7 linked regions of the Macaca mulatta genome follow. The protein of the gene in region 1 interacts with the protein of each later gene in a pairwise test. Links are inferred from orthologs where the notes say so. Each region holds a gene or a part of one and is shown in the gene's direction. Other genes may lie near its edges.

Region 1 (4,151 bases):
CAGTGACCTAACCTCTTTCTTCTCATGTGCCAGATGTTAAGATGAAGGAGGAATACAACACATGCTCAAGCCTCAGCTGTTTAGTTGTTTTCACTGGGGCTCGCTTTTCTGGGACGGTATTTATTATCAGACTGGCAAGCCTAACTCCATAGGTTTACAGGAAGTAGGGATATTTTTATAAAACAATTGTGTCCTCCCCACATTTTGCTATGTTAATATTTGCCTCTAACAATTTGCAGCTGTTTCACTTTTTCCTCATTTGTCTCTAAGTTGAAGGCCTTGTTGGAGGGGACAGAGCACAGGAACAGCCTTGACAGTCTGTAATTATTGTACAAATATTTTAATAGCATATAAATAAGTATATTCCTTTTATTTTGAAACAAAAATGATCAGACACTGCCTTTTGTGTGTTTGCTGCCTGTGGCACCCTTTTTGAAAAAGACTGTTACATATTAAAATAGTGTACATACATATAAATATTACCTCTTTTGCTGTACAGTTGTGATAGAGACTGAAGATTTTATTTTTTGTGTGCTTTTTATAAGAAAAAATTAATACACTAAAGAATCTTGCTGATGTGATTGTAATGTACCTATGTAACTTATTTACTTTTGAATGTTCTTCTGTATCTTTAAACCTTTTATTAAATAAGGTTTTAAAAATTCAGAGTTGAATGCTATGTTCTCTCGGGATTTTCACCATCTGGGGTTGATGTAAGTGGGCCTTGTCTTGCTTGCAGGGAGATTACTCGACATTTTTGAGCCATAAGGATTCTCTTTTAGCAGCCTATTGTCGATGCCAGCCAGGAAAAGGAAAATAACACTAATGTTTGCCTGGCTAAAAGATGACTCAGTAGACACAGACAAACAGATGTTTACAAAAGTTTAGACAAGAAAAAGTCTAAACTCAGTATCTCACACAAAAAATGGCGCACTCCGGCTTCATTGGGATAAAATACGCAGGGTGCACAGTGTGGTCAGGGGTAACGGGAAGCCAGGGTTCTGAGGAGAGTATTTTCACGTGCAGGGTGGACTGGCTGGGCAACCCGAGTAGACAAGTCCACCATGAGGGATGCCATGACTTCCAATAGTATCATCTTAAATCCACTCCAGGATTGGGTTATTATTTTTAAAACACGGTGCTTAGCAGTATTTGTTTGCTGTTAAAATGGAAAATTATGAAAAAGGAAATGCGCCATCAGAGAAACAAATGCCCGAGCCCCTCGCTGGCACCATGGCAACCGCTCGACCCCCGCGGGCCGCCGGAGCAGGCGTGATTCGCGCCAGCTGGGGCGCCGTTGCCATGGCGACGCCCGAGCGGCTCCGCCACAGGGGCGGGACGGGGCGGGGCTGACGCCGCTCGCGGGCTGGCCCCATCCTCCACTGCAGCAGTAACGTCGCAGCGGGTTGCGGGTAGGACTCGACGCTGGGGCAGCCGCGCAGCGCCTGAGCCGCTGCAGGCCGCCGCGGCCGCCGCTGCCCACCCTTGCCTGTGCTGTTTCCAGCCTCGCTTCTCCGGCTTTCCTGCTCCTCTGCTGCCTTCGTTTCTGGTCCTCGGCCGTCCTCGCCGCCCGCCCAGAGGAGTCCCCGCGCCCGCCAAGAGGAGTCCCCACGCCCTCCAAGAAGCCGCTCTCCGCTGGCCCGCAGCCGCCGCGACTTCGGCACAGTCTCTCCCTCTGGCTAGTCTCCCAAACGGCCGCTCCTCGCCCGCGGGAAGACCAGGCTGCGACCGCGAACGCCCGATCCTCTCCAGGAGCCGCAGCGAGCGCCCGGCGGGCACGCCCCGCGACCACACCCCGGCTGCTTTCGACCCAGCGCGCCTGCCTTCGCCGCCCGCCCTCGCTCCTTGCCCGCTGCACGACGACGCGACAGCCCGGCTGCAAGCGGCAGACCCGACCGGACCCGGACCCAGACGCAAGATGGCGACGGCCGCGTGACTTCCTCAGCGTCCCCGAGCTCAGCTCCAAGTGTACCTACGGACTGACTGGGGGGGCAGAGAAGGGCGAGATCAGGACTCTGTGTCTTTGTTAGTCGTGAATGCATGAAGCCTACCTCCCTTGGGCCTACTTGGTGGGAGTGTCTGGTATTGTTCTAAGGCCAGGAGTACGGTGAGCCACAGTCTGTTGGTAGAATTGGCGTCTTGATAGTTGAGAAAATGGCGATGACACTGTTGGAAGACTGGTGCCGGGGGATGGATGTGAACTCCCAGAGAGCTCTGTTGGTCTGGGGCATCCCAGTGAACTGTGATGAGGCTGAAATCGAAGAGACCCTCCAGGCAGCGATGCCCCAGGTCCCCTACCGAATGCTTGGGAGAATGTTCTGGAGGGAAGAAAATGCGAAAGCAGCCTTATTAGAGCTCACTGGCGCTGTCGATTACGCCGCGATCCCCAGGGAGATGCCGGGCAAAGGAGGGGTCTGGAAAGTGTTGTTTAAGCCCCCAACTTCTGATGCTGAATTTTTAGAAAGATTGCACCTCTTCCTAGCTAGAGAGGGGTGGACCGTGCAAGATGTTGCCCGTGTCCTTGGGTTTCAGAACCCTACTCCGACCCCGGGCCCAGAGATGCCAGCAGAGATGCTAAACTATATTTTGGATAATGTTATTCAGCCTCTTGTTGAGTCCATATGGTACAAGAGGCTGACACTTTTCTCGGGGAGGGACATCCCAGGGCCTGGAGAGGAAACCTTTGATCCCTGGCTGGAGCACACTAATGAGGTCCTAGAGGAGTGGCAGGTGTCCGATGTAGAAAAGAGGCGGCGGTTGATGGAGAGCCTTAGAGGCCCTGCCGCTGATGTCATTCGCATCCTCAAGTCCAACAACCCCGCGATAACCACTGCCGAATGCCTGAAGGCGCTTGAGCAGGTGTTTGGGAGCGTTGAGAGCTCTAGGGATGCCCAGATCAAATTTCTGAACACTTATCAGAACCCGGGAGAAAAATTGTCTGCTTATGTCATTCGTCTGGAGCCTCTGCTACAGAAGGTGGTAGAGAAGGGGGCCATTGATAAAGATAACGTGAACCAGGCCCGCCTAGAGCAGGTCATTGCTGGGGCCAACCACAGCGGGGCCATCCGAAGGCAGCTGTGGCTTACCGGGGCTGGGGAAGGGCCGGCCCCAAACCTCTTTCAGTTGCTGGTGCAGATCCGTGAGGAGGAAGCCAAGGAGGAGGAGGAGGAGGCTGAGGCCACCCTTCTGCAGTTAGGCCTGGAAGGGCACTTCTGAGTGCCAGAAAAGACAGCTTTAGTGCAGACCTAGATCACAGCTAGTTTTCTTGTCCCTGTGGGGGTCTTACAGATGTGTCTCTGAGTAGTAAAGGCTTAGCCCTGTTCCGTTTTGTTGTTTTTTTGGAGGGGAAGGTTAGTCAGGCCTGAGTATTCATGTAACATTCTAAAATTGTGCAAGCGAGCACCGTGAGCTGCTACAATGCAAGTGGGTCTTGCTGGCTAAAGTGCCAGGTAAAGGGTTGGTTGGACACAGCGCTTAGTGCACGCTGTCATCATGGACATCATAATCAGTTGTGAAAAACACACGAACCTCTGACACTTCCTATTCCACACTGAATGTGAAATTGCATGTGCAGATGTTTACTACGGGGCCTGGCTCACAGGAAGTGTTCAGTAAAAGTATGAACTATTAGATTACTGATAGCGCAGATAGATTTTTCTTTACCATAAATAGTTCCAGATTTATATTGATGGAAGGAAATGTGCATTTATTAGCTATTACTCAACTTTACAATGCAAACATCATATTTCTCATCTTTAAACATGTCGATCAGTTTAATTGAAAAGTATTCTGAGACTGCAAAATGGGGTGTTAAAAAAATACTGCAATTACGGAGCTGTGTAAACCAGTTTCTCATTGCATAAGATACAGATGTAAATTGCATGGAGAGGTTGATATGCACCTGTACAGTAATTCACTTCCCCATTTCAGATCTTTGTCAGAGAATAGTTCTTGTTCATACTGAGTGTTCTAAATTTGAAGTTATATATACAAATTAAAATATTTTAAAAATTCTGTTGTCTTCTCATTTTTCTGGCATGTATAAACATTTTTAGCCTAAGTAAACTCTGTCCTTTTTTCTTATGAAGACTTTGTCATTAAACCATTTATTTTACTCTTAAGCTTTGTATGATACTATGTGAATTTAAATG
Region 2 (3,741 bases), on another chromosome or scaffold:
GGAGAATGGCGTAAACCCGGGAGGCGAGCTTGCAGTGAGCTGAGATCCGGCCACTGCACTCCAGCCTGGGCGACAGAGCCAGACTCCATCTCAAAAAAAAAAAAAAAGAAAATTGGAGGGAGGAAAGGAGTGGGTGGCTTTGGAGATGTTCTGAAATATGAGAATGAGAGGAGTGGAGGGGTCCTGGAGGCTCTGGGGAAGGCCAAGCCCGTTTTCCTGTCTTCCAACCCCTTTTAGGAAAATTACGGGCAGAAGGAGGCTGAGAAAGTGGCCCGGGTGAAGGCACTATATGAGGAGCTGGATCTGCAGGCTGTGTTCTTGCAATATGAGGAGGACAGTTACAGCCACATTATGGCTCTCATTGAACAGTACGCAGCGCCCCTGCCCCCAGCCATCTTTCTGGGGCTTGCGCGCAAAATCTACAAGCGGAAAAAGTGACCTAGAGATTGCAAGGATGGGGAGAGGAGGCTCTCAATAAATAATTGTGTAACCTTTTTGTGGTTCTGTTCTTGCTCGGCGCAGCCAGAGTCTGGCTCTTTCCAGAATGTGCGGGGTGGGGTGCTGGGAGGACTCGCTGCACAGAAGCGGGACCCAGGGGCCTTGGCATCAGGGCCAAAAGCTTGGGATACATCAAACCCGCTAGGTGGGTGACACAAGACGCTAAGCGCTGGGGGCGGGTCTGAGCTACGCCACGCCCATGCGCGAAGGGGTGCAGATGCGCTGCGCAGAGTGGGTTGTGCTAGTGCCCCTCCCCTCCCGCTCTGTGCCCCGCCGGGCGGGGACCGTGGGAGCCGAGGACAAGCCCAAGGCCGGAGCGGTTCCAGGAGGACCCTGGTGAGGAGGGCTCGGCCCATGGGTGTAGGCCGATGGACCAGGGCACGAGGGGCGGGGCAGGACAAGGGAGCAGGAGAAATGAATAGAGAAGGGGTGCGGTGGTGACTGAACGATGGAGACGAATGCGGAGAGAATGGACATACCGCTGTTCTGAGGGGCGAGGGCGCAGGCTGGAGCCCGGCGGAGGCAGCCAGCAGATGTGGAGTTGACGAGCTGACGGCTGCTCCATCCTTTTCCTCTCCAGCTCCCACCCCTTTCCTGCATTCACCAGGCAAACTCTGCATATCGACCCACCCCCATCCCCCGCCTCCTTTCAGGGCATCTGGGTGGGTCTCCCTGGGTCCCTTCCTGTGGGAGTAAGGGGTAGGCAGGAGGGCAGGGCCAGATTGCGGCAGCAGGGACCCGGAGGTCCATTCTGGGCCCGGACCTCTTCCGGGCCCCCGCCCCCCTTCGGAAATCCAGAGCGCAGCCGCGTTCTCTGACCCTCCCGGCTCCATTCCCGGAGGGTTACATTCGACTCCACCTGCAAACACTGCAGTGGAAACTAATGGCCAGTCGATTGCGATTTGCATCTCATTGAAATATCTTCCAAAGCAGCCAGAGCCTTCAGGCCTGCTGCTGCCGTCAGTCACCTCAGTGTCCTTCCCGCAGCTCCTGTCCTCACTGGCTGGGCTTCGCCACCCCTGTCTTCTAGGTCTGCACCTGTGGTTGCCAGGTAGGTGGATGTGAGAGACCCTACCCTCCTGGTTCTCTAGAAGCCATCCCATCGCCGCTGGCACCATGCTGTCTCCTCAGAGAGCTTTACTCTGCAACCTCAATCACATCCATCTCCAGCACGTCTCCCTGGGCCTGCACTTGTCCCGCCGTCCTGAGCTACGGGAAGGGCCCTTGAGCACATCCCCTCCCCCAGGAGACACTGGGGGCAAGGAGAGCAGGGGCCCCTGCAGTGGCACCCTGGTGGACGCCAATTCCAACAGCCCAGCTGTGCCCTGCCGGTGCTGCCAGGAGCACGGTCCGGGCCTAGAAAACCGGCAGGACCCATCACAGGAGGAAGAGGGGGCTGCCTCTCCCTCAGACCCAGGCTGCTCTTCCTCGCTCAGCTCCTGCTCAGATCTTAGCCCCGATGAGTCCCCCGTCTCAGTCTACTTGCGGGACCTCCCTGGTGATGAGGATGCCCACCCTCAGCCCAGTATCATCCCCCTGGAGCAAGGTTCCCCACTGGCTTCAGCAGGCCCTGGCACCTGCTCACCGGACAGCTTCTGCTGCTCTCCTGATTCCTGCTCCGGAGCTTCTTCTTCACCCGATCCTGGCCTGGACTCGAACTGCAACGCCCTGACCACCTGCCAGGACCTCCCTTCCCCAGGCTTGGAGGAAGAGGATGAGAGCGCGGAGCAGGATCTCCCTACCTCTGAGCTCTTAGAGGCGGATGATGGGAAAATCGACGCTGGGAAAACGGAGCCCAGTTGGAAGATTAACCCAATTTGGAAAATTGACACAGAGAAAACTAAAGCTGAATGGAAAAACACGGAAAACAGTAACACTGGTTGGAAAAACAACGGGAATGTTAACTCTAGCTGGAAAAATGAACCTGAAAAATTCGACTCTGGTTGGAAAACCAACACAAGAATAACTGATTCTGGCTCGAAAACAGATGCAGGGAAAATTGATGGAGGATGGAGAAGTGACGTCAGCGAGGAGCCGGTGCCCCACCGGACAATCACGTCCTTCCACGAGCTGGCCCAGAAGCGCAAGCGGGGCCCAGGGCTGCCCCTCGTCCCGCAGGCCAAGAAAGATCGCAGTGACTGGCTCATAGTCTTCTCGCCCGACACCGAGCTGCCCCCCTCGGGGTCGCTGGGCGGCTCCTCGGCACCTCCTCGGGAAGTCACCACCTTCAAGGAACTCCGGTCCCGAAGCCGGGCCCCACCCCCGCCAGTCCCGCCTCGAGACCCCCCAGCTGGCTGGGCTTTGGTCCCGCCCCGGCCCCCACCCCCGCCTGTCCCTCCCCGAAGGAAGAAGAACCGACCTGGACTGCAGCCCATAGCGGAGGGGCAGTCCGAGGAGGGCCGGGCTGTCAGCCCAGCGGCTGGCGAGGAGGCCCCAGCCGCGAAGGAGCCGGGAGAGCCGGGCGCGCAGGCCGGCCTGGAGGGTAAGAGGTCGCAAGAAGCGGGAGGAGGGCTGGGCTTCGGCCGCTCACGCCTCCTAGGCTTCCAACCCGGCCCCCTGTCTTCCCTCCATTCTGTGTCACCCATCCTCCCCGCCCCTTCTACCAGGGAGCGCTCCGGGAAAGGGAAACTGGGTGGGTCATTGGGATATGGGACTAACTCTTTGCTCCCTCTTCTTCCCGCCCCTCCTTGCCTGGCTGCCCATCCCGCTGCCCTCCTTCCCTCTGCGCCTGGCCCCGCCAATCCCGCCTGCAGCCGGTCCCCTCCTGCTCCCTCGGCCCCTGGTTTTCCGGTTCTCGGCCGACGGGCGCCCCCTGTTGGAGGGTGGGGGCGCAGGCGCAGCTGGGTCTCTGCTCCTGGCTCCTCTGGCAGGGTGGCCTGGCGCTGGGCTGCGGCTGCTGGGGGCGCCGAGCCCCCCAGAGGAGCAGCTGCTGCCCGTCCGCCTGTCCCCAGTGGGAGCCTATTCGCCTCCGACTCGGGGAGCCTTGCCCTGCCTGGCCAGCCCCGAGCTGGCACTGCTGCTGTCCCCGCTCTTTCCCAGAAGTAGCACCTTCCCCGCCGCGGCTCCCCCACCCCGCCAGGTACCCGCCCCCCCGCTGCCACCGCAACCTCGTCCGCCGAAGGCCCCTCGCTGGACCAGGAGCCCATCGCCTCCGCCCAGGCTACGTAAGACGGACCCGGGCAAGCCCCGCGGGCCACGCCTCAGGCGGGCCGCCCCGCCCGCTCCAAGGCCCCTCCCACTATC
Region 3 (3,500 bases), on another chromosome or scaffold:
CCAGCTGGCCTGGCCTGCCAGCCCCTCCCTCGGGCCTCACAGCTGCCCTCTCTCCCCGCAGGCTGGAGCAGCCCTACTTCAGCGCCAACGCCCAGTTCTTCCAGGCGCTGAGCCAGTGCCCCTCGCTACAGCGCCTGTGCCTGGTCTCCCGCAGCGGCACCCTCCAGCCCGATGCCGTGCTGGCCTTCATGGCTCGCTGCCTACACGTCGTCATGTGCCACCTGTTCACCGGGGAGTCCCTTGCCACCTGCAAGAGCCTGCAGCAGTCGCTTCTCCGCAGGTGAGTGATATGGGTTGCGTACAGCTTCAGGGGCTGCAGACATCACCAGCATCCCATGACCTGGTCCCCAGCCCTCACCGAGTGCCTACCAGGGATTTCTTGGAATCGACAAGCACCAGGCAGTGACAGGGTGAAAGCAAGGGGTTTGGTCTCCCACGCGTGGCCCGACCTCTCCTTGAGCACTCCCTAGCCATGTGGTAAATTTTCTAGATAGTTCAAGCTCTCCTCTCCCACAAGTACAAAAGTCTTCTTCTTTCTTCTTCTTCGAGTCTGAGTCTCACTGTGTTGCCCAGGCTGGAGGGTAGTGGCGAAATCTCGGCTCACTACAACCTTTGCCTCCTGGGTTGAAGCGATTCTCCTGCCTCGGCTTCCCAAGTAGCTGGGACTACAGGCGTGTGCCACCAGTGTGTATTTTGTATTTTAGTAAAGACATATTGGTTCACCATGTTGGTCAGGCCGGTCTCGAACTCCCGACCTCAGGTGATCTGCCTGCCCCGGCCTCCCAAAGTGCTGGGATTACAGGCGTGAGCCACCGCGCCCGGCCTGCAACCATCTTTTAACTCTGGATTTTTCACATCTCTGCACGTTGTTTAGATCTAGAAGCAGTGGTTACTTGGGCAGTTGTGGGTAAAAGCGGTAGATTTAACAGAGAACCCTTCCTTCTCCCTCTCCTCGCCACCCTTTCTGGAAGGCCCACGTGCTCTGGCCCCTCTTCCCTGAGCTAGCTAGCATCTCCACTTCCCCTCGTGACAGGGCGTCCTGGAGTTTGATGCTCTGCTGCTGAGCAGGAACTCAGGTGAGCACCTAGAATTGAACACAAGTCAGGAGGAGGCGATTCCTGGAGAGAGCTAGAGCTTCGCAGGCGGTCTGGGGAGTGACGCATTTAAAGACCTCTCAGGAGGACGGGCTGAGTGCTGAAGTGAGCAGGGCTCCGGAGAGAGGCGTGCGCCCGGCCAAGGGGGCAGCAGGACATGAATGCCCTGAGTGTTCGTGTCCCTGCAGGTGGGGAGAGGTGACAGGAAGGAGGCCCCAGCTGTTCACAGAGTTGCGAGAAGAGCCACCAGCCAGGAGGTCTCGAGCCATTGGGTCCCGACAGCCCTGCTGGCCAGACTCTGGAGCAGTCTGTTGGCCTTGCGGTTTGCCGCTGGCTTTCTCAGGAATAACCCTGGTTGGGGTTTCCCCCTCTCTGGTTGTAAAAACAACTTGTGTTTATAGTACTTTTTAAAAATTTAGACTATGCATCAACCTTTTTTTTTTTTTGGAGAGAGTCTCACTCTGTCGTCCAGGCTGGAGTACAGTGGCGGGACCTCAGCTCACTGCAACCTCTGCTTTCTGGGTTCAAGCGATTCTTCTGCCTCAACCTCCTGAGCAGCTGGGATTACAAGTGTGCACCACTATACCTGGCTAATTTTTGTATTTTTGTATTTATTTATTTATTTTTCAGAGACAGAATCTTGCTCTGTCGCCCAGGCTGGAATGCAGTGGCGCGATCTTGGCTCACTGCAAGCTCCCCCTCCCGGGTTCACGCCATTCTCCTGCCTCAGCCTCCCGAGTAGCTGGGACTACAGGTGCCACCTGGGACTACACTGCCACCACGCCTGGCTAATATTTTGTATTTTTTTTAGTAGAGACGGGGTTTCACTGTGTTGGCCAGGATGGTCTCGATCTCCTGACCTTGTGATCCACCTGCCTTGACCTCCCAAAGTGCTGGGATTACAGGCGTGAGCCACCACACCCGGCCTAATTTTTGTATTTTTAGTAGAGACGGGGTTTCACCATGTTGCCCAGGCTGGTCTCGAACTCCTGATCTTAGGTGATCCACTCACCTCGGCCTCCCAAGGTGCTGGGATTACAGGTATGGCCAACATCAACCTATTTTTAAGTGAAGGTTTCCCAACAGTGAAAGCTGCCAATTTTCCCTGGAGAATCAGCTGGAGATAGGGTTCTCATGTTGTTTTGTAATCTGATTTTTAAAAATGTAGCACTACACCATAGAGTCTTCTTGTGTCAGTAAATAAAGCCCGAAGTGATTGTTCTCAGTGCTGGCCTGATGGCCCTCAATTGGGTGTCTGGGTGGTCAGCCCTGGCTCATGGCTCTTATGGAAAACACGGTCACTGTGTCCTTGACTTTGCTTTGGATCTTGTCTTTGCCTGCAGTGGAACCAGCGGGGCAACCTGGGTGGTGGCCAGAATGTTTCAGTTTAGCCCCTTGGCTCTGCTTCCTCACACCTTAGCATCGTTGTGCTGTGAGCTGGATGTGACGCCTGCTGATGTGTGCCCCCTTTTAGGAGGGCTGAGTGGGTCACAGGCTCCAAAGGGCTTAGCCGAGTGGGCTTGGGGACAGGCGGTAGCTGTTGGGGGAAGGGGCACACTGTGCTCTGTGAGGCTGTGGTACCCAGAGGCCAAAGCTGGGTTTTCTCAGGTGTGGCTGATGCAGGCAGCTCTGCCCTGTCAGCTGCGGGAGGAGCCTCGGGCCTTCTTCCCCAATACGCTTGCAGCTGGACTCCACTCACAGGCCCTCCAGCCAGTGGGAGGCTGCGACTGTGCACCCAGAGCTGCCACCTCCTGCGTAGGTGTGTTTTGTTGAAGGGACTTGGGAGTGGGTGTTGCCTGTCTTCTGTGGCCTGTGAGTCTGGGGCCCTAAGACCCAGCCCATGTGGGGCCGTCTCAGCTCTGCAGGGGTGTGGCTTTTCCTGCAGCGATGGGGACTGGCTCTGGGAGTTCTCTGTTTCCCTGCTGCAGCGGAGAACATCCACAATCCCCAAGCAGTTCAGGACGGCTGCGCTCATGACGGGGCGGCCCCCGGCCCCACCCTCGAAGGCTTCCTGCTCCGATGAGCCTGCTTTTCCTTCTGGTCCTCAGAATCCTCTCTGCATGGCGCTGCAGGTGGGTTGGTTGGACGTGGCACCGGATGCCAGCCCCTGCTTTGAGCTGCTCTCCTCCATTTACCTACTGCCTGTGGCCGGCTCCGGGAGCTTCTCCTCTGGCCTCCTGGGTTGACCTGCACCTGCGTGTTTCTTAGGCAAGTCTGATGATCTAAGGTGGATGCAGGAAGCTCTTTACGTTCTCCGGTTGGACGGTCTGTTTTTTGAAGGCTGGTGCTCCATAGCTCTTCTTTGGTGTTTTTGTGTCCTCAGGCACAAGCTGAGCCCGGCGCTGAGCTCGCAGGTGGCCCCAGAGGGCGCTGGTTACACACAGGTGCCTGGGAGAGCCCTTGATC
Region 4 (2,207 bases), about 53 Mb from region 1:
TCTCAGGAAACTGGGCATATAAAGTCATTATGAATCAGAGCAGTGGTTGGCAAATGAGAGCCTGTGGATCAAATCCGACCTGCCACCTGTTTTTATATAAGCCATGCTTATTTGTGCCTCTGTTGTCTGTGACTGCTTTCACACTACAAACAGCAGAGTTGAGTAGTTGGGACAGAGATAGATTTTGCCTACTGTCTGGCCTTTTAAAAGAAAGTTTGCGGACTCCTAATCTAGGGCATTGCTGAGCTGAGAACCTTGTCACTGGGGGAGAGTATGAGCCAGTGTATAATCATAAATTTCATTGTCCTGGAGTGGGATTTTTTTGAGAGTGGAGGTTGCTGACAAGGGAGAGCACTGTACTTTGTGCCAAGTTCTTGCCTTTCTCCTGCAGCAAAGAGAAAGTTCTTTGTTTGGAGTATTAAAGATGCAGCCAGCTTAACTCAAAGGACGTAGTTAATCGTTATTAGAATTGAATGTTAAAGGAGTCCTCAGTTTACTGACTGCAGAGATTGAGTTATGAAAATAGACACCTGGCCCAGCTTTATTTCTTTTATTTCCTTTGATTTCAGGGAAAAGAGAAGTCACCTTTGGACCCTCGACCTAGTTTTGTCTTTGCCCCGGTAAGTATTACTTCTACCTGTCCCACCACACAGATCTGAACTCAGGTGTGGCCAGAAAAAGTAAGATGGTAAAGCTAAGCCACTCTCCACTACTTTGTGTTCCTATCCAGTTCCTACCTAATGATTCTCCTGGCTCTTCCTACCCACTGTTCCTGTCCTCCATTCTCCCTGGCCCCTTTTGACTCTATTATTCTTAGTTTTTAAGTTTTGTGATTGATGGCTCTTTTGTCTTACCTCACTTTTTTATGTGTTCACAGTGTCCCCATGAACTCCCTTGTCCCCAGTTGACAACCTCTAGGCCACTGGCGTGTAGCTTCTCACAGGCGTACCATCCCATCCCCTTCCGCTGGGTAGGTACCTGGGGATATTGCAGCAGGAAGCAAACATCTTGGAAAAAACAGGAAGAAAAAGAGTCAGAGTTAGGAGGCGTTGGATAATTCACAGAATAGCCTAGAGACTTTAGGGCCTACATGTATATGATTTACACATTGTAAAAAAGGACTGCAGGAATGGGGAAGAAGGGGCTTGACAAACTTTTTTCCCATATGTTTTTCTTCTAAACAGTCTCTATGTTCCTTATCTTAGAACAAGAAACCAAAGGAAGAAAAGTTCTCTATGGTGATCCTTGCTCGGGGGTCTCCAGAGGAGGCTAATCGCTGGCCCCGTATCACTCAGCCTGTCCTTAGACGACCTCGCCATGTGCATTGTCACTTGTGCTGTCCAGATGGGCATATGCAGCATGCTGTGATCACAGCCCGCCGGCATGGCAGGTATAGGGGGTGTGACCAAAATTAGTGGGATGTGGCAAGAACCTGCAGCCCACATTAACGTCTCATTTCCATAGGGATTTGTATCGTTGTGCCCGTGTCAGCTCCTGGGGAGATCTTTTACCTGTGCTTACTCCGTCTGCGTTTCCTCCATCCACTGCTCAAGATCCCTCTGAGAGTTGACAAGGATGTCTAACAAGTATTTTCTTCTATCATGCCTGCCAGGGCTGACACTACCTGGTATCCAGGAGGGGACTGCTGGTATCCCCATATGTCTGTGTTTGTTTGAGATTTTTAATAATAAATAATAAATTTTTAAAGAATTGAAGTGGATTTTGTGATTCTTAAAAAGTGTAGAAGCTGGGCACAGTGGCATGTGCCTGCATTTCCAGTCACTCAGGAAGCTGAGGCAAGAGGATCATTTGAGCCCAGGTGTTAAGGCTGCAGTGAGCTGTGATTGTACCACTGCACTCCAGCCTAGGTGACAGAGCAAGATCTCCTCTCTTTAAAAAAAAAAAAAAAAAAAAAGTAAAAGGTATAGTTAATTATCCTGGTCTATCCTGTAATGAAGAGCTTCCTCAGATTTTTGATGCCAAGCTTCCCACACAAATCTCAAGCTCGCCTTCTCCTATTGTGGCAGTTCAGATCTCCATAAGCTCTTCGCTGTAATGATGAATGTGTAAGCTGATCATTAAAGCAGAAGTAGAAAAACCAGATTTCTATAAGCCCTTTGCTATAATGATGAATGTACAAGTTAAACATAAAAGCAGAAGCAAGAAAAATGTATAATGAATTGGGGGAACCTGGTGCCTGAGTATGA
Region 5 (4,104 bases), on another chromosome or scaffold:
CTGGCCCCTATATCGGTGTTTGGAAGTCTCCAGAGCAGGAGCCCTGGGTGAGAGGAGTGATACAGGAGGGCTGAAAACTCAGCCCAGGCTCCTTCCTCTTTGGATGGAAGGGGAGATAACTTGGGACCCCTTCCCTTGCTGACTGGGGATCCTTTCCCAGGCCTCTACTCTGGTGACACCTCAGGGGAGTGTCCTTAACCCTTTCTGCTATTCAGCTCCTTCATCAGGGCAATTTTAGGGGCCTGGGTGGTTATTCAGTTATTCAGTGGAGAAAAGGAGAAATGGCAATTCCCCCCCCCCTGCCGCCCCCACCTCACCACCACCATCTTAAATCCATCCTTCTGGCCAGAGTCAGAAAGGCCCAATAAATGTAAAGGCGCTCTGGTTCCTTGTATTAAACTCTTTCCTAGGCTCACGTTTCCGGGGCCTGATGGATCCCTTTAACCTCAAGCAGTTTCTAATTTCAGGACAAATAGTGGATTCTTGGACACTCAGCCGTTTTATTCACCTCTCTCCTCTTCCCTCAGCTACTGAGGGGTCCAGGGAAGCTCCCAGTCATGTAAATCTCTACAAATAGTGCACAGAGAGCCCCCTCCAAAGCGGACAACGTCCTAAAATCCCCAACTTTTCCCCTCATCCTTTTACTTCATCTCCTGTGGATTGCTGCTGCTGCTGTTGTTTAATAAACATCTTCTGTCAAGGGGACAGAGAAGAGGAAATGAGGGCCTGTGGGGTGGAGGTGGAGGTGTGTGTTGGGGGGGACAGGACCACCTCCTCTTCCAGTATCCTCTCGGGCCTCTGTGGCTGCTCCCCGGGCTGGGGCTCTCTCCCTCCCTCCGCCCTTGCTCTCCCTCCCTCCCCGACCCGCCTGGGGAGAGGGCTCCACAGCCTGCGTCCCTCCCGAGGCAGCCCGCCGCTTCCCTCCGCCTCTCCTCCGCCCCCGCCGCCCCATGTCGAGAACTGCCCCCCTTCCTGCAGCGGGAGGGGGGACCGGGCAGCCGGCAGCTCAGGCTGAGGTTACGTGGCCGCCGGAGCCCTGACGTGATAGCACATTGCATCAGCATAAAACAATCCATCCTCGATATGGAATGCGGTGCGGACGGATGACAGCGAGAGCGCAGCCCCCTCGCCCGATTGATTTATGTCGGAGCTGACGCTTTATCAGGCAGTCGGAAAAACTTTGACCAATCATTTTGCAAGGAGCGCTGAGCCTGGCTGCTCCACTGTACTTTGTTGGCTGAGAAGTTGAGCAGGGGGTGGGGGTGGGAGGGTGGGGGGCTGGGGGGGTCGCGTCCGAAAGCCCTCACACCGGTCCGGGTGCCACCTCTCCCTGCTTGGGCGCCGCCGCGCGAGCGCTTCCCTTCCCCCTGCGAGCGCCCGGATAATGTCTGAGAATGTCCATTTCTGGGACGCTTAGCAGCTATTATGTCGACTCGATCATAAGTCACGAGAGTGAGGACGCGCCTCCAGCCAAGTTTCCTTCTGGCCAGTACGCGAGCCCGCGGCAGCCGGGCCACGCGGAGCACCTGGAGTTCCCCTCGTGCAGCTTCCAGCCCAAAGCGCCGGTGTTCGGCGCCTCCTGGGCGCCGCTGAGCCCGCACGCGTCCGGGAGCCTGCCGTCGGTCTACCACCCTTACATCCAGCCCCAGGGCGTCCCGCCGGCCGAGAGCAGGTACCTCCGCACCTGGCTGGAGCCGGCGCCGCGCGGCGAAGCGACCCCGGGGCAGGGCCAGGCGGCGGTGAAGGCGGAGCCGCTGCTGGGCGCGCCTGGGGAGCTGCTTAAACAGGGCACGCCCGAGTACAGTTTGGAAACTTCGGCGGGCAGGGAGGCCGTGCTGTCTAATCAAAGACCCGGCTACGGGGACAATAAAATTTGCGAAGGAAGCGAGGACAAAGAGAGGCCGGATCAAAGTAAGTTATAAAAAGTGAGGAAATACCCAGGCCGAAGGCCAGGAGGGGGCGGGGAGGGGAAAGGCAATAAACTGCCGACCATGTGAAGGGAAACTGCGGCGGTGGCCGGAGAGCGGGCCGGGAGGAGGGGAGAGGAAGGAAAGTCGGAGGGAAGGGGGAAAGCTGCGTGCTCTGGAAGGGGAGACTGAGGCCGCCAGAGGAGCGCTGCCCCCACTTCTTCAAGTAGTGCGGGGAACAGGGGCTCTGGGATCGACTTGCAGCTCTCTCGGCCCTCTTTCCCCTGTCTCCCGGAGGCCCCAGCTGAAAGCCCGGCCAGAGACCGGCGACGGCCGGGAGAGGAGCTGGTGGGGCCGAGGGCCAGCGGCCAGCAAGGCGGAGAGCCGGCGAGGGCAAGGGCCGGAGCGCACTGGGCTGCCCGGGACCGTGCGGCTGGCAGAGCTCCCCGCTCCACGCGCAGACCGTAAAAGCCGGCCAAGGGGAAGGGGGAGGGGGCTCATTAGGATTTTATTTGCGATGCAACAGCTTGGCGGAGAATTGTTCCTAGCAGATCTCGTGCTGTAGCCGCTCAGAGTCCGCAACCGGCGCCGGGAGGGGCGGGGGAAGCCCAGGACGCGGTGACTGAGCCCCCTCCCCGGATGCGCCGGCCCCTCCCCGGGAGCCTTCCCTCTGGTGGCCCCTCTCCTCCTCGGCATCTTCGCCGGGGCTGCCGCTTCCTTTTCTGCGGTCCTTCCTCCACCCCGCTGCTCTCTGCGGGGCTCCCTAGCCCCAGCCCGGGCTGTCCGCCTCTTGGGGAGTCGGGGAATCGCTTCCGAATATCGGGACATCCCGGGGAGAGGAGGGGTGGGGGAAGAGAGGGTTGCAGAGAGGCGGAGAACTTTACCGTTTATGGGTAGTTTCCCATCACCTCCCACTCCTCAAAAGCACCCCAGTCAGAACGCCAAGTCTGGCTGATTTCCAGGAGGTGCTACTAGGTGAGAAGAGAGGGTTCTCCTATTACTTATTTTTAAGGTTGAGAAGGGCCCTTCGGCGAGGGAACTCAGCCCCAAACAATGACTCGCAGGCTGGTGAATCAAGTCCTCGTTTCTTACTCTTTTTGGGAAGTAGGGATTTTTTCGTCTCTCCTTGCCCTGCTAGGTTTCCCATTGACGGAGTGGCCCCAGGGCTCTTTAGTGCATCCTTGCCTGCTGGAGAGTAAAGAGCTGCTCCATTCCCTGCAGGGTCCTGTCACCTCCAACCCGCCAGGTGGAATCCTAAGAGCTGGCATTTGGGGAAGACATTCTTCCCCAACTCTCCCCGCACACTCCCAAACCGACCCACCACCCTAAAACCCCAAACTCTCCCTGAAAAGCCCATTATTGCAAGGCAGCCATTTGGCTAGAATCAATTATTAACAGTTTTTTCCCTCTTTCATATTTAATGCGGCTGCGGGTCCCATCCCAGGCAATCACATTAAGGAAATAGCACTGCAAATTGGTAAGACAGGGTACTTAGTGTAGGATGAACCAAATTTTTTATATATAAAAAAAATCCAGTGTTTTTCACTTGGGGAGAAGGAAGCTAGTAGCTGGTGGCTATTATTTTTAATTGGCTTAGCTTTATTTGGCAACTTTTTTGAGTTCCAGAGCAGGGGGAGAGAGGGTAAGAAGAAGAGAAGCCTGTATATATTTTTGTTTCCTCTCTTCCACTCAGTTACCCTCTTCTCCCCTCCAGCCCCCACATAGGACCAGTTAAGGCTAGGTGTGCTGTGAAGGGCTTCCTTTTACCTCCACATCACCCCTGGCTCCCCACCTTGGGACTGGAGCAATTTTACTCCCCAATTTCCCTGAACTTGTGTTAGCCAAACTGTGAGCTGAGCAGGAGCCGAAAAGGAGAGAGACTATTGCAACCATAAGTTATCTGTGAGCCCCTGGCGCTCCCCTGTCCATAGGCTGGAGTTGATAAATGGTTGCAATTGCGTTGCGTGTGAATTGGAGTGTGCTGCCTGTTTGTGGCTCTAAGTGCAGACCCATATTTGTGGTGTGTGGTGGTAACAGAGGGGGAGATTTCTACACAGACACACATGCCTGCTGCCATGTGGTCTAGAGACACAAGTTTGTGATCAAGGCAGGGTGTACTGGGACTAGACTGAAGGGCTGAAAGGTCTCTTGGGGTGAAGTGACACCCCAAATGTGGTAACTGAACAGACATCTCACT
Region 6 (3,979 bases), on another chromosome or scaffold:
ATGACAACATGCACTCACTTGCCAGCGTGAGCTGCAGAGTGGACAGAGACGAGGAGATAATGCGTGAAGTGGTAGAAAAATGAGAAGAGATTGTTCAGTGTGCAGAGCAGAGAGATGGTGAGATGGGAGCTGTGAGGAGAGCCGGGCGGCCTGGAGGCTCCCGGGGGCAGATCTGTGCTGAGCTTTTGTAGGGATCGCCGGCTGCCTCCGCCCCTGCACGTCCCAGCTCCTTCTCAGCTCACCCTTTCTTGTTGTGCCCTGACAGGTGGCTGCCATGCACAGCAATGCCACTGAATCTCACAAACTAACCTGAAAAGGTGTGAGAAGCTGGGCACACACATGGGGTGTTTACGTGAAGCTCAGAAGCTGCACAGCTAAAGGGCTCGGTGAGGGAGGCATCACAGGTGTTGAAGCCTCATCGTGGTCCGTGCAGGCACGGCCAGGCTGGTGGCACCTCTGCCAGGGTGGGGGTGGGGCCGCGGGCTGAAATCGGGAGCGAACAGGCAGTCGGCTCTGGAGGCTGGCAGAGCGAGGTTCTCTTTCTTCCTCTGGGAGGTGGTGACTAAGACTTTAGAATAATTTGTGAAACTCTGCATTTATGTTTTAGGCATTTTACGTAAATATTTTATATTTCTCACTAGTAAAACGTTTAAGAGAATACACCCACGGGACAATCTGCAGTGATACACGTTCTATAAAGTTCTTCTCAGCTTTGTTTGTGTGAAAAGCGTTAGTGCTGTTTGCAGAGAGAAGCTGAGTGAGTAAGTTACATGACAGCCACAAGCTGGACAAATACGAAGTGTTCAGCAAGGGATGAGTGTGGGCCACCGTTCCTGGTGCGCAGTAGAAAGAGAGGGCTGGGGATGATTCCTTAGAGCGATGTGTGGAAACACCTGGGCCTCTACACGCACAGGTCTGGGGAGGCCCCTGCGTGTCCACGGGCCCCCCACGGTGCTACCGCCCCCACGGTGCTGCCGCCCCCACGGTGCTGCTGCCACAGGGATGCTCTCTGGGTGGCGGGGTCATGGGAGATTGCATTGTATTGTATTTTTCCTTTCTGCTTCCCATTTCTTGGAGACAAATCTGGTTGCCATGGAGACCGTGCTGTTGTCAAGGTGGCTGATTGGCCGGCGCCGGATGCAGGGATGCTTCCTTGGGCCCCCGGCGGGCGCAGCCCTCAGCCCGCACTGCGGAGCCAGGCGGCAGCATGGACGGGGCTGGGGCAGACATGTGGGCCAGCACCTTCACCCTGGCCATGGCCGAGAGGAAACCCCAGGACGTCTGGGTTCTGCTACCTGAGCACAGCCTGGTCCCAGGACGCCTGGACGGCGGTGGCGTCCAGTACCTGCTGGTGGGGCTCTCGAGGTGCGGCCAGAGGCTGGGGACCCTGGGAGAGGGAGGGGGCTGAAGGTGCTTTTCCACAGGACTTTGGGTGGTCCCAGAGGCTGGGTGGGGCTGTCGGGCCTCTTCTTGTCCCTGAGACGGGAGGGGGGACTGGGTGCTCCTTCTTTCTCCCCTCTGAGCCTCTGCCTCGCCATGCTGGGCACACGGCTGCTGACGCAGGGGTCCCGGGGAAGACATGGCGGGTGCCTCGTGGAGGGTTTGGTTTCCCTCACTCGGCTCCTCAGGCCAGCGCTGCCCTTGGACACAGGCTTATCTCCTGTTTCCATGGCAGTGCCGTGGCCTCGAAGCTGTCTGTGCTGACAGGTGGGCCCTGGGGCGTGCCGGTGCCTGTGGTCACCATCCAGCCCTGCGCTGCAGACGGTGGGGTGCTCGGCCCTGATCGGGGGCCCGGGGTGGCTGTGAGTCACATGTGAGCCTCACGGGCCATCGTCATGGTCGTGGTGCCGTCAGCACAACAGGGTGGGCCCCATCTGCTTCTCTACCCGGCAAGGCATCCACAGCTCTGCCAGGAGCCAGCCGGGAGGGGCGCAGGGCAGCTCCACAGCCTCGCAGACGCCCGGCCTGACAGGCCCCCAGGCTGCCGGCTGGTCAGTCCCTCTGTGGAGATGCCCTGGGCAAAGGGGGAGTCATCCTGCCCTTGGACACAGCCCCTTAGTGCCTGAGACCCCTGGGGCCAGGTGTGTGCAGAATCCCAGCTTTTTCAGAAGTTGGGAAAGTAATAACCCATGTTGGGGTCTGAGAAGTGCTTGGAAGCACATCACCGTTCCCACAGCCAGGCGGAGATGGCTCTGAGTGGCTCCCAGCTGGCGGAAGAGAACTGAGGACGGGTGCCCCAACATGAGCCCCAGCGCCTGTGGCTTTGGCAGGCTCCTCAGTCCCATTTAAATACAGTCAGCAGTTCAGTTCCTCCAGCACGACCGTGTCCACGGGCTCTGTGGCCAGTGTGGCTGCCGGCTGCAGGTGGGGCAGTGTGGCTATAGAACATTCTGTCATCCAGAAAGTTCCACTGCGTGGAACTGAAGCAGAGCCTCTCATTCATGCAGGGTTCCCTGAAGCTCACAGCTGCTTGTGTGGTTAGCAAATGGTCACCGGTCTGGTGACTGCTGTGGACAAGCCAGTCTCTCCCAGTGCTCTCCCCAAATCTCCCCTCGCCTGGCGACGCCCAGCAGGGCTGCCTGGGCCATGACCGCAGGCCTCAGTGACGCCCTTTCCCTCAGCTGGCAGGTGACGGGGGGATCACCTCCTCTCAGTCAGGACAGGGACCCCCCTTGCTGAGCCCCCAGGGACAGCCCCCAGATGCATGCTTTTCCCCTTCTAAGTGTGTCAGCTGGCCTGCCTCTTCCTGTGTTAACCCCAACTCACAAAACACCAGCAGAGCCACGCGGGCGGCAGGTGGCCGACACCTCACAGAGGCCAGGCCAGAGCGGGTTTTGCTGCAAAACTGCTGAGAGGAGGTTTGCTTTGCTGAGAACAGCGCTCCAGATGAGGGGGTTGCAAGCTAGCGTGCATGGGCCTGCGTTTGCCCGTGTGGCCAAGGGGCTGGTGGTTTCAGAACCTCAGCACAGGCAGGAGCAGGTGCTGGGCCGCCTTGGCCGTGGCCCTGGGTGGCTGGCGGGTGAGGTTTGAGGTTTGGGGTTTGAGTGTGGGATGCGAGGCAGGGGGCAGCGAGGCGCTGGGGTCGGATGGGCAAGGAGGCCACAGAACAGAGCGCGAGGCCCGGCCGTGGGGCCTCCTTCTGCTGCACTCACATGCACCTCTTTCCCCCGCAGGCTCCAGTGCAGTCGCTGTCCGGGGACCTGGGACTCGGCCCACGTGCATGTCCTTTTCCACCTGTGGTGGGACAGGGCCGGCCGCCGGGGGCTGGTGAAGATGCGCATCTGGGGCCAGCGGTGCAAGCTGTGCCCTGCGCCCGGGGACTGCCAGGTGAGGCCCCCAGGCGAGCGGCCCTTCCTCAGCAGGCTGGTCTTGCACATCCTGCAGGACTGCTACGGGGATGGCCTCGGCCCAACCCGGCACCCCAGGGAGGCCTACGAGGGCTGCTGTGAGGCCTGCGAGCTGGGGGTCTGTTTCCTTCAGAAGGCCCCAGACCCTGCCTGGAGCACCAACACCACGACAGGCAACTTCCCTGCCACGGCCTGGGGTGGCACCGGCGCCGTCTCCAGGGGCAAACAGCTGCCCACCTCCGGCGATGACCTCGGCAAGGGTGGTGGTGTCATCGCCATCCCGTTCTCCCTTGTGCGCGCCAGCAATGACCAGGTGCCCATCGCTGAGAGCCCTGCAATCCCTGCCTCTCTTTCACAGGAGGCCTCTCTCCCTGTGACCGGCAGCCATGGGGCTCTGGTCATTGGCCAGGGCTCCATCTACCTGTCTGGGGATTCTGTGGCCATGCCTGGGGGCAAAGGCTTCCCAGTGGCCATTGGAGACCCCCTCTTCCATGGCCCCGGCCTCCTCGGCAGCAGTATCCAGACCTTCGAGCTCAAAGGTTTCCTTTTCAAGGGCCGGGGTTCCCTCTGTAGCCCCGTTGGCGTGGCCCAGGGCTGGGGCCCCGTCTCCCTCAACAATGGCCTTGTCCCTG
Region 7 (4,019 bases), on another chromosome or scaffold:
TTAACTACCCTATGCAATTCAATTCAGGTTCACCCGGGCGGACTTTAAGAGGGTAAGTCAAGCCTTCCCAAGGGGTTTTGAAAAAGCCAAACTACCAGGTTTCTAAAACGAAGTCTTCACCCAAATGGACTCATAGATTTTTATTTTTATCGCATAACCCAGGGCTGGAATATAACCTCCGAAATCAAACTAAAAATAATCACGTCTACCTGATACACGTTAAAAAGATTCAGAATCCAGACATTTTAGGTTCATACATAAACCCTCAATATTAAGCAAATCAGAAACAATGTTCTAGCTTTGTTTTTTTCACCCAAAAGTATCGAAAGGGTACAGTGGGTACAACTTGTTTAGGATAATACATGTACTAAAAAGCACATGCATGTCTTTCATTGAAATGCCTAGGGAGGAGTGAAGCCATCTGTGTAATCAATAACAGGATAGTTATAGATTTTTGTGGCAGTGAAGTCTTTTAAAAGCAAGAGTCAATTATGAAAATAAAATCATTTTACAAATGAAACTGTACCTGTACCCCCTAAGAATACATTCACAGTTAGATTTACAACAGTACAATTTTAAGAAAACTTTAGGTTTATATTTACTTCCCTTGTTTTTCATTAAGTTTGAAACAATTTTAGTAGCTTATTTTAAAAGTATATCCTACTAAGTTCTACGACATATAAATTTGCACCATTTCTCACAACTTAGATATTTTCTCTCTCGTAACTAGTTAATTCTTGCAACGATAAAATAATGTATTAAATATATGTGAATCTTAATTATGAAATAATTATCAAACAAGGTGCTTGGACTAGTTTTTGCCCTGCCCTGTTTTTCAACAGCATATCGAAATTACTAAAAAGAGATTTATGGTTATAAACCCTCACCTTATATCCACTCCAACCCCCACTGGTGCACATATACAGCGATTGCTCTGATTCTTGGCAACAATGGGAGGGGAGGGGAAGAGAAAGGAGTAAGACTTTAAAGGAGGAAAAAACCTGGAAAAATTAGGTCCTTTCCCAGATTCCCCTGTCTCCTCCCACTTGCCTTCAAGCCAAAGTAATTTTGTTACAGTTTTCACCTTCTCCTACACAATGTTGATAGATTCATTTAAAAAAAAAAAAAAAAAAAAGTGAGCCTTTCTGAACCACTGCTACTCTCCCTCGCGTTATTCCAGCCATCTCCAGGAGAGTCCCTTCTATATAAACTCTTTTTCTTCTTTGCTACTGATAAGAGAGGAGGATAAAGAGGAAGGGCTGTAAAATGTGTGCATGTATTTGACTTCCATTATCTCCTCCTATTTTCCTACTTCTCTCTTTACCCTCTTTCTTTATCAAGTGCAGTGGTGGCTGCTACCGTTCGCCAAGCCTGCCTGTCTTCTCTCTCGGATTGGCTAAAGCACTGACAGCTCGGATAGCGATTGTAGGAACTGAAGCTCCACCCCCTCATGATGGCCCTGGGACCATTCATAAACTAAATAACTCCAGGAAACAGCGAGGGAGAGAGAGAAAGAAAGAGAGAGGGAGAGAGGGAGAGAGAAAGGAGAGAAGAGAGAGCGAGCACGAGGAAGGGGGGAGGGGGAGACAAGCAGGGGAGTGCGGGGCGAGAAAGAGGTCGGAGGGGAAAGGAGGGGGAGAGACGACTCAGAAAGTGGAATCTGTACAAGCAACCTAAAGAAGGAAAACCCTGAATCGTTATAACTACACCCCAGATGCAACGCAAGCAACGACTTCGTCACACTAAAACGGATTTTGTGAGGGCCAAAAGTATAAATTACGAAGCAGAAATGATTATCAAACAACTTCCAGCGGTTTGCACCTAAAGAAATACAAGAAGAACCCACTACAAACAAACCAACCCAGTCCAAACAACGCCTCCAGTAGGAAAAGAGGAAAACTGCGACAACACGACCCCCTGAGAAGAGAGGAGACCAACACGCTGAGACTGCGAGGCGTCAGCAAACCTCCAAGTGCACGGCGGACTGAGTTGTACTTCGCAGCTCTCTGAACATTAATTACCTCCTGCACCTTCCACTTGGGGGAGGGTGAGGAAGACGGCACTCACCTACACTGAGCGAAGAAGTCCTAGCAGCGTGGAAGAAAAGTTTAAGAATGAACCACTGAATGTTTCGCTTTTATTTTTAAATTTACTTTGGCACTTAAAAAACTTCATTTTCAGATTTCTGGGCAATCTCGGCTGCAGACATCTAAGCCTAACCTTTTGGTATCCTGAGTTTTTTTCTTTTTCCTTCTCCTTCCTCACCCCCACCCCGCTTCTCTCGCACACGGTCTTTACATATCAAGAGAAAGCAAAAAGGTCCCAGGAGGTGCTTTTCTTTTTAGAAAATCATATTTTCTCCCCTAATTTTTCTGCAGAAGAAAAAAGGTTTAGAAAGAGGGAAAAGGAAAAAACAAGCCGGCTACAGTATCAGCCGGTCAGCCCAGGTGGAAAACAAGAGTGAAAGTGGGGCTTAACGGGGAGCGCACCGCCTCTTTCGAAAGCCGCTGGGCCACCACCAGTGCGTGAGCCTTGGATCCCTCAACGTATTGCGAGACGCCGGTGTATAGCCCGGACCTGTGCCCCAACATGATTGCCGCTCAGGCCAAGCTGGTTTACCAGCTCAATAAATACTACACTGAGCGCTGCCAGGCGCGCAAGGCGGCCATCGCCAAAACCATTCGAGAGGTCTGTAAGGTGGTCTCGGACGTGCTCAAGGAAGTGGAGGTGCAGGAGCCTCGCTTCATCAGCTCCTTGAGCGAGATCGATGCCCGCTACGAGGGGCTTGAGGTCATTTCGCCCACCGAATTTGAGGTGGTGCTCTACCTAAACCAGATGGGCGTCTTCAACTTCGTGGACGACGGCTCGCTGCCGGGCTGCGCGGTGCTCAAACTGAGCGATGGGCGGAAGCGCAGCATGTCTCTCTGGGTCGAGTTCATCACAGCGTCGGGCTATCTCTCAGCGCGTAAGATCCGCTCGCGTTTCCAGACGCTGGTGGCCCAGGCGGTGGACAAGTGCAGCTATCGGGATGTGGTCAAGATGATTGCGGACACCAGCGAGGTCAAGTTGCGCATCAGAGAGCGCTATGTGGTGCAAATCACTCCGGCGTTCAAGTGCACCGGGATCTGGCCTCGAAGCGCGGCACAGTGGCCTATGCCCCACATCCCCTGGCCCGGCCCCAATAGGGTGGCCGAGGTCAAGGCCGAAGGGTTCAACTTGCTCTCGAAGGAGTGCTACTCGCTGACCGGCAAGCAGAGCTCGGCAGAGAGCGACGCCTGGGTGCTACAGTTCGGAGAGGCGGAGAACCGCCTGCTGATGGGAGGCTGCCGAAACAAGTGCCTCTCAGTGCTGAAGACTCTGCGGGACCGCCACCTGGAGCTACCCGGCCAGCCGCTCAATAACTACCACATGAAGACGCTGCTGCTGTACGAGTGCGAGAAACACCCGCGAGAAACGGACTGGGACGAGTCGTGCCTGGGCGACCGGCTCAACGGCATCCTGCTGCAGCTCATCTCCTGCCTGCAGTGCCGCCGCTGCCCTCACTACTTTCTGCCCAACCTCGACCTCTTTCAGGGCAAGCCCCATTCGGCCCTGGAGAGCGCTGCCAAGCAGACCTGGAGGTTGGCCAGGGAAATTCTCACCAATCCCAAAAGCCTGGACAAACTATAGGGTGCTGGGGACTGCTTGAAAAGCGACACAAACAGGCGTGCTCTCTCAGACACACAACACACAACTCAGCGATAAACAGCAGAAACTCTGGACACAAACTTTTATGTAAGTCACCTGAAATAGGAATCAGGCAGAAGACCTTCGTTAATTAAGAAGCAAACAAAAAGAGAGCAACCCAACCAAAAGATATCACATTCTTGCACAAAAGTGATCGTTTTCTTCCAAACAATGTGAATTTAAAAGGTCACACAAAAGAAGCAATCGGGCTGTGCCACCACAAAATGAAACCCAAGGTACATTTTCAAATCAATGTATAGTAGTTTCCCCCTTTTCCTTCTTTCCCCCTATCC

Evidence for each region.
Region 2: the proteins of PNMA1 (region 1) and RUSC1 interact in binary tests that used the Homo sapiens proteins (3 or more experiments, as listed by UniProt). The two-hybrid records come from large-scale screens. The link is inferred for Macaca mulatta from reciprocal best matches to the Homo sapiens genes PNMA1 and RUSC1.
Region 3: the proteins of PNMA1 (region 1) and FBXL18 interact in a two-hybrid assay, tested with the Homo sapiens proteins (2 studies listed by BioGRID). The two-hybrid records come from large-scale screens. The link is inferred for Macaca mulatta from reciprocal best matches to the Homo sapiens genes PNMA1 and FBXL18.
Region 4: the proteins of PNMA1 (region 1) and METTL17 interact in binary tests that used the Homo sapiens proteins (3 or more experiments, as listed by UniProt). The link is inferred for Macaca mulatta from reciprocal best matches to the Homo sapiens genes PNMA1 and METTL17.
Region 5: the proteins of PNMA1 (region 1) and HOXB9 interact in binary tests that used the Homo sapiens proteins (3 or more experiments, as listed by UniProt). The two-hybrid records come from large-scale screens. The link is inferred for Macaca mulatta from reciprocal best matches to the Homo sapiens genes PNMA1 and HOXB9.
Region 6: the proteins of PNMA1 (region 1) and RTP5 interact in binary tests that used the Homo sapiens proteins (3 or more experiments, as listed by UniProt). The two-hybrid records come from large-scale screens. The link is inferred for Macaca mulatta from reciprocal best matches to the Homo sapiens genes PNMA1 and RTP5.
Region 7: the proteins of PNMA1 (region 1) and MAB21L2 interact in binary tests that used the Homo sapiens proteins (3 or more experiments, as listed by UniProt). The two-hybrid records come from large-scale screens. The link is inferred for Macaca mulatta from reciprocal best matches to the Homo sapiens genes PNMA1 and MAB21L2.

What each region holds. Positions count from the first base shown.
Region 1 is NC_133412.1:146,883,643-146,887,793, reverse strand, and holds PNMA1 (paraneoplastic antigen Ma1), read left to right. Parts: upstream 1-1,351; 5' UTR 1,352-2,154; coding exon 2,155-3,216; 3' UTR 3,217-4,022; downstream 4,023-4,151.
Region 2 is NC_133406.1:111,658,952-111,662,692, reverse strand, and holds the start of RUSC1 (AP-4 complex accessory subunit RUSC1), read left to right. Parts: upstream 1-1,485; 5' UTR 1,486-1,614; coding exon 1,615-2,980; exon of another isoform or gene 2,981-3,251; coding exon 3,252-3,662; exon of another isoform or gene 3,663-3,741. Other genes in the region: FDPS (farnesyl pyrophosphate synthase), read left to right, coding at 238-438; putative uncharacterized protein RUSC1-AS1, read right to left, coding at 420-1,406. UniProt on the Homo sapiens protein: Associates with the adapter-like complex 4 (AP-4) and may therefore play a role in vesicular trafficking of proteins at the trans-Golgi network. Signaling adapter which plays a role in neuronal differentiation.
Region 3 is NC_133408.1:43,703,223-43,706,722, reverse strand, and holds part of FBXL18 (F-box/LRR-repeat protein 18), read left to right. Parts: intron 1-61; coding exon 62-280; intron 281-3,500. UniProt on the Homo sapiens protein: Substrate-recognition component of the SCF (SKP1-CUL1-F-box protein)-type E3 ubiquitin ligase complex.
Region 4 is NC_133412.1:93,845,111-93,847,317, forward strand, and holds the end of METTL17 (ribosome assembly protein METTL17, mitochondrial), read left to right. Parts: intron 1-569; coding exon 570-620; intron 621-867; exon of another isoform or gene 868-877; coding exon 878-970; exon of another isoform or gene 971-1,007; intron 1,008-1,205; coding exon 1,206-1,390; intron 1,391-1,464; coding exon 1,465-1,570; 3' UTR 1,571-1,707; downstream 1,708-2,207. UniProt on the Homo sapiens protein: Mitochondrial ribosome (mitoribosome) assembly factor. Binds at the interface of the head and body domains of the mitochondrial small ribosomal subunit (mt-SSU), occluding the mRNA channel and preventing compaction of the head domain towards the body.
Region 5 is NC_133421.1:61,383,614-61,387,717, forward strand, and holds the start of HOXB9 (homeobox protein Hox-B9), read left to right. Parts: upstream 1-1,304; 5' UTR 1,305-1,394; coding exon 1,395-1,911; intron 1,912-4,104. UniProt on the Homo sapiens protein: Sequence-specific transcription factor which is part of a developmental regulatory system that provides cells with specific positional identities on the anterior-posterior axis.
Region 6 is NC_133417.1:147,150,780-147,154,758, forward strand, and holds the start of RTP5 (receptor-transporting protein 5), read left to right. Parts: upstream 1-1,179; 5' UTR 1,180-1,207; coding exon 1,208-1,365; intron 1,366-1,481; exon of another isoform or gene 1,482-2,700; coding exon of another isoform or gene 2,701-2,858; intron 2,859-2,875; exon of another isoform or gene 2,876-3,019; intron 3,020-3,173; coding exon 3,174-3,979.
Region 7 is NC_133410.1:159,159,355-159,163,373, forward strand, and holds the start of MAB21L2 (protein mab-21-like 2), read left to right. Parts: upstream 1-1,219; 5' UTR 1,220-2,589; coding exon 2,590-3,669; 3' UTR 3,670-4,019. UniProt on the Homo sapiens protein: Required for several aspects of embryonic development including normal development of the eye.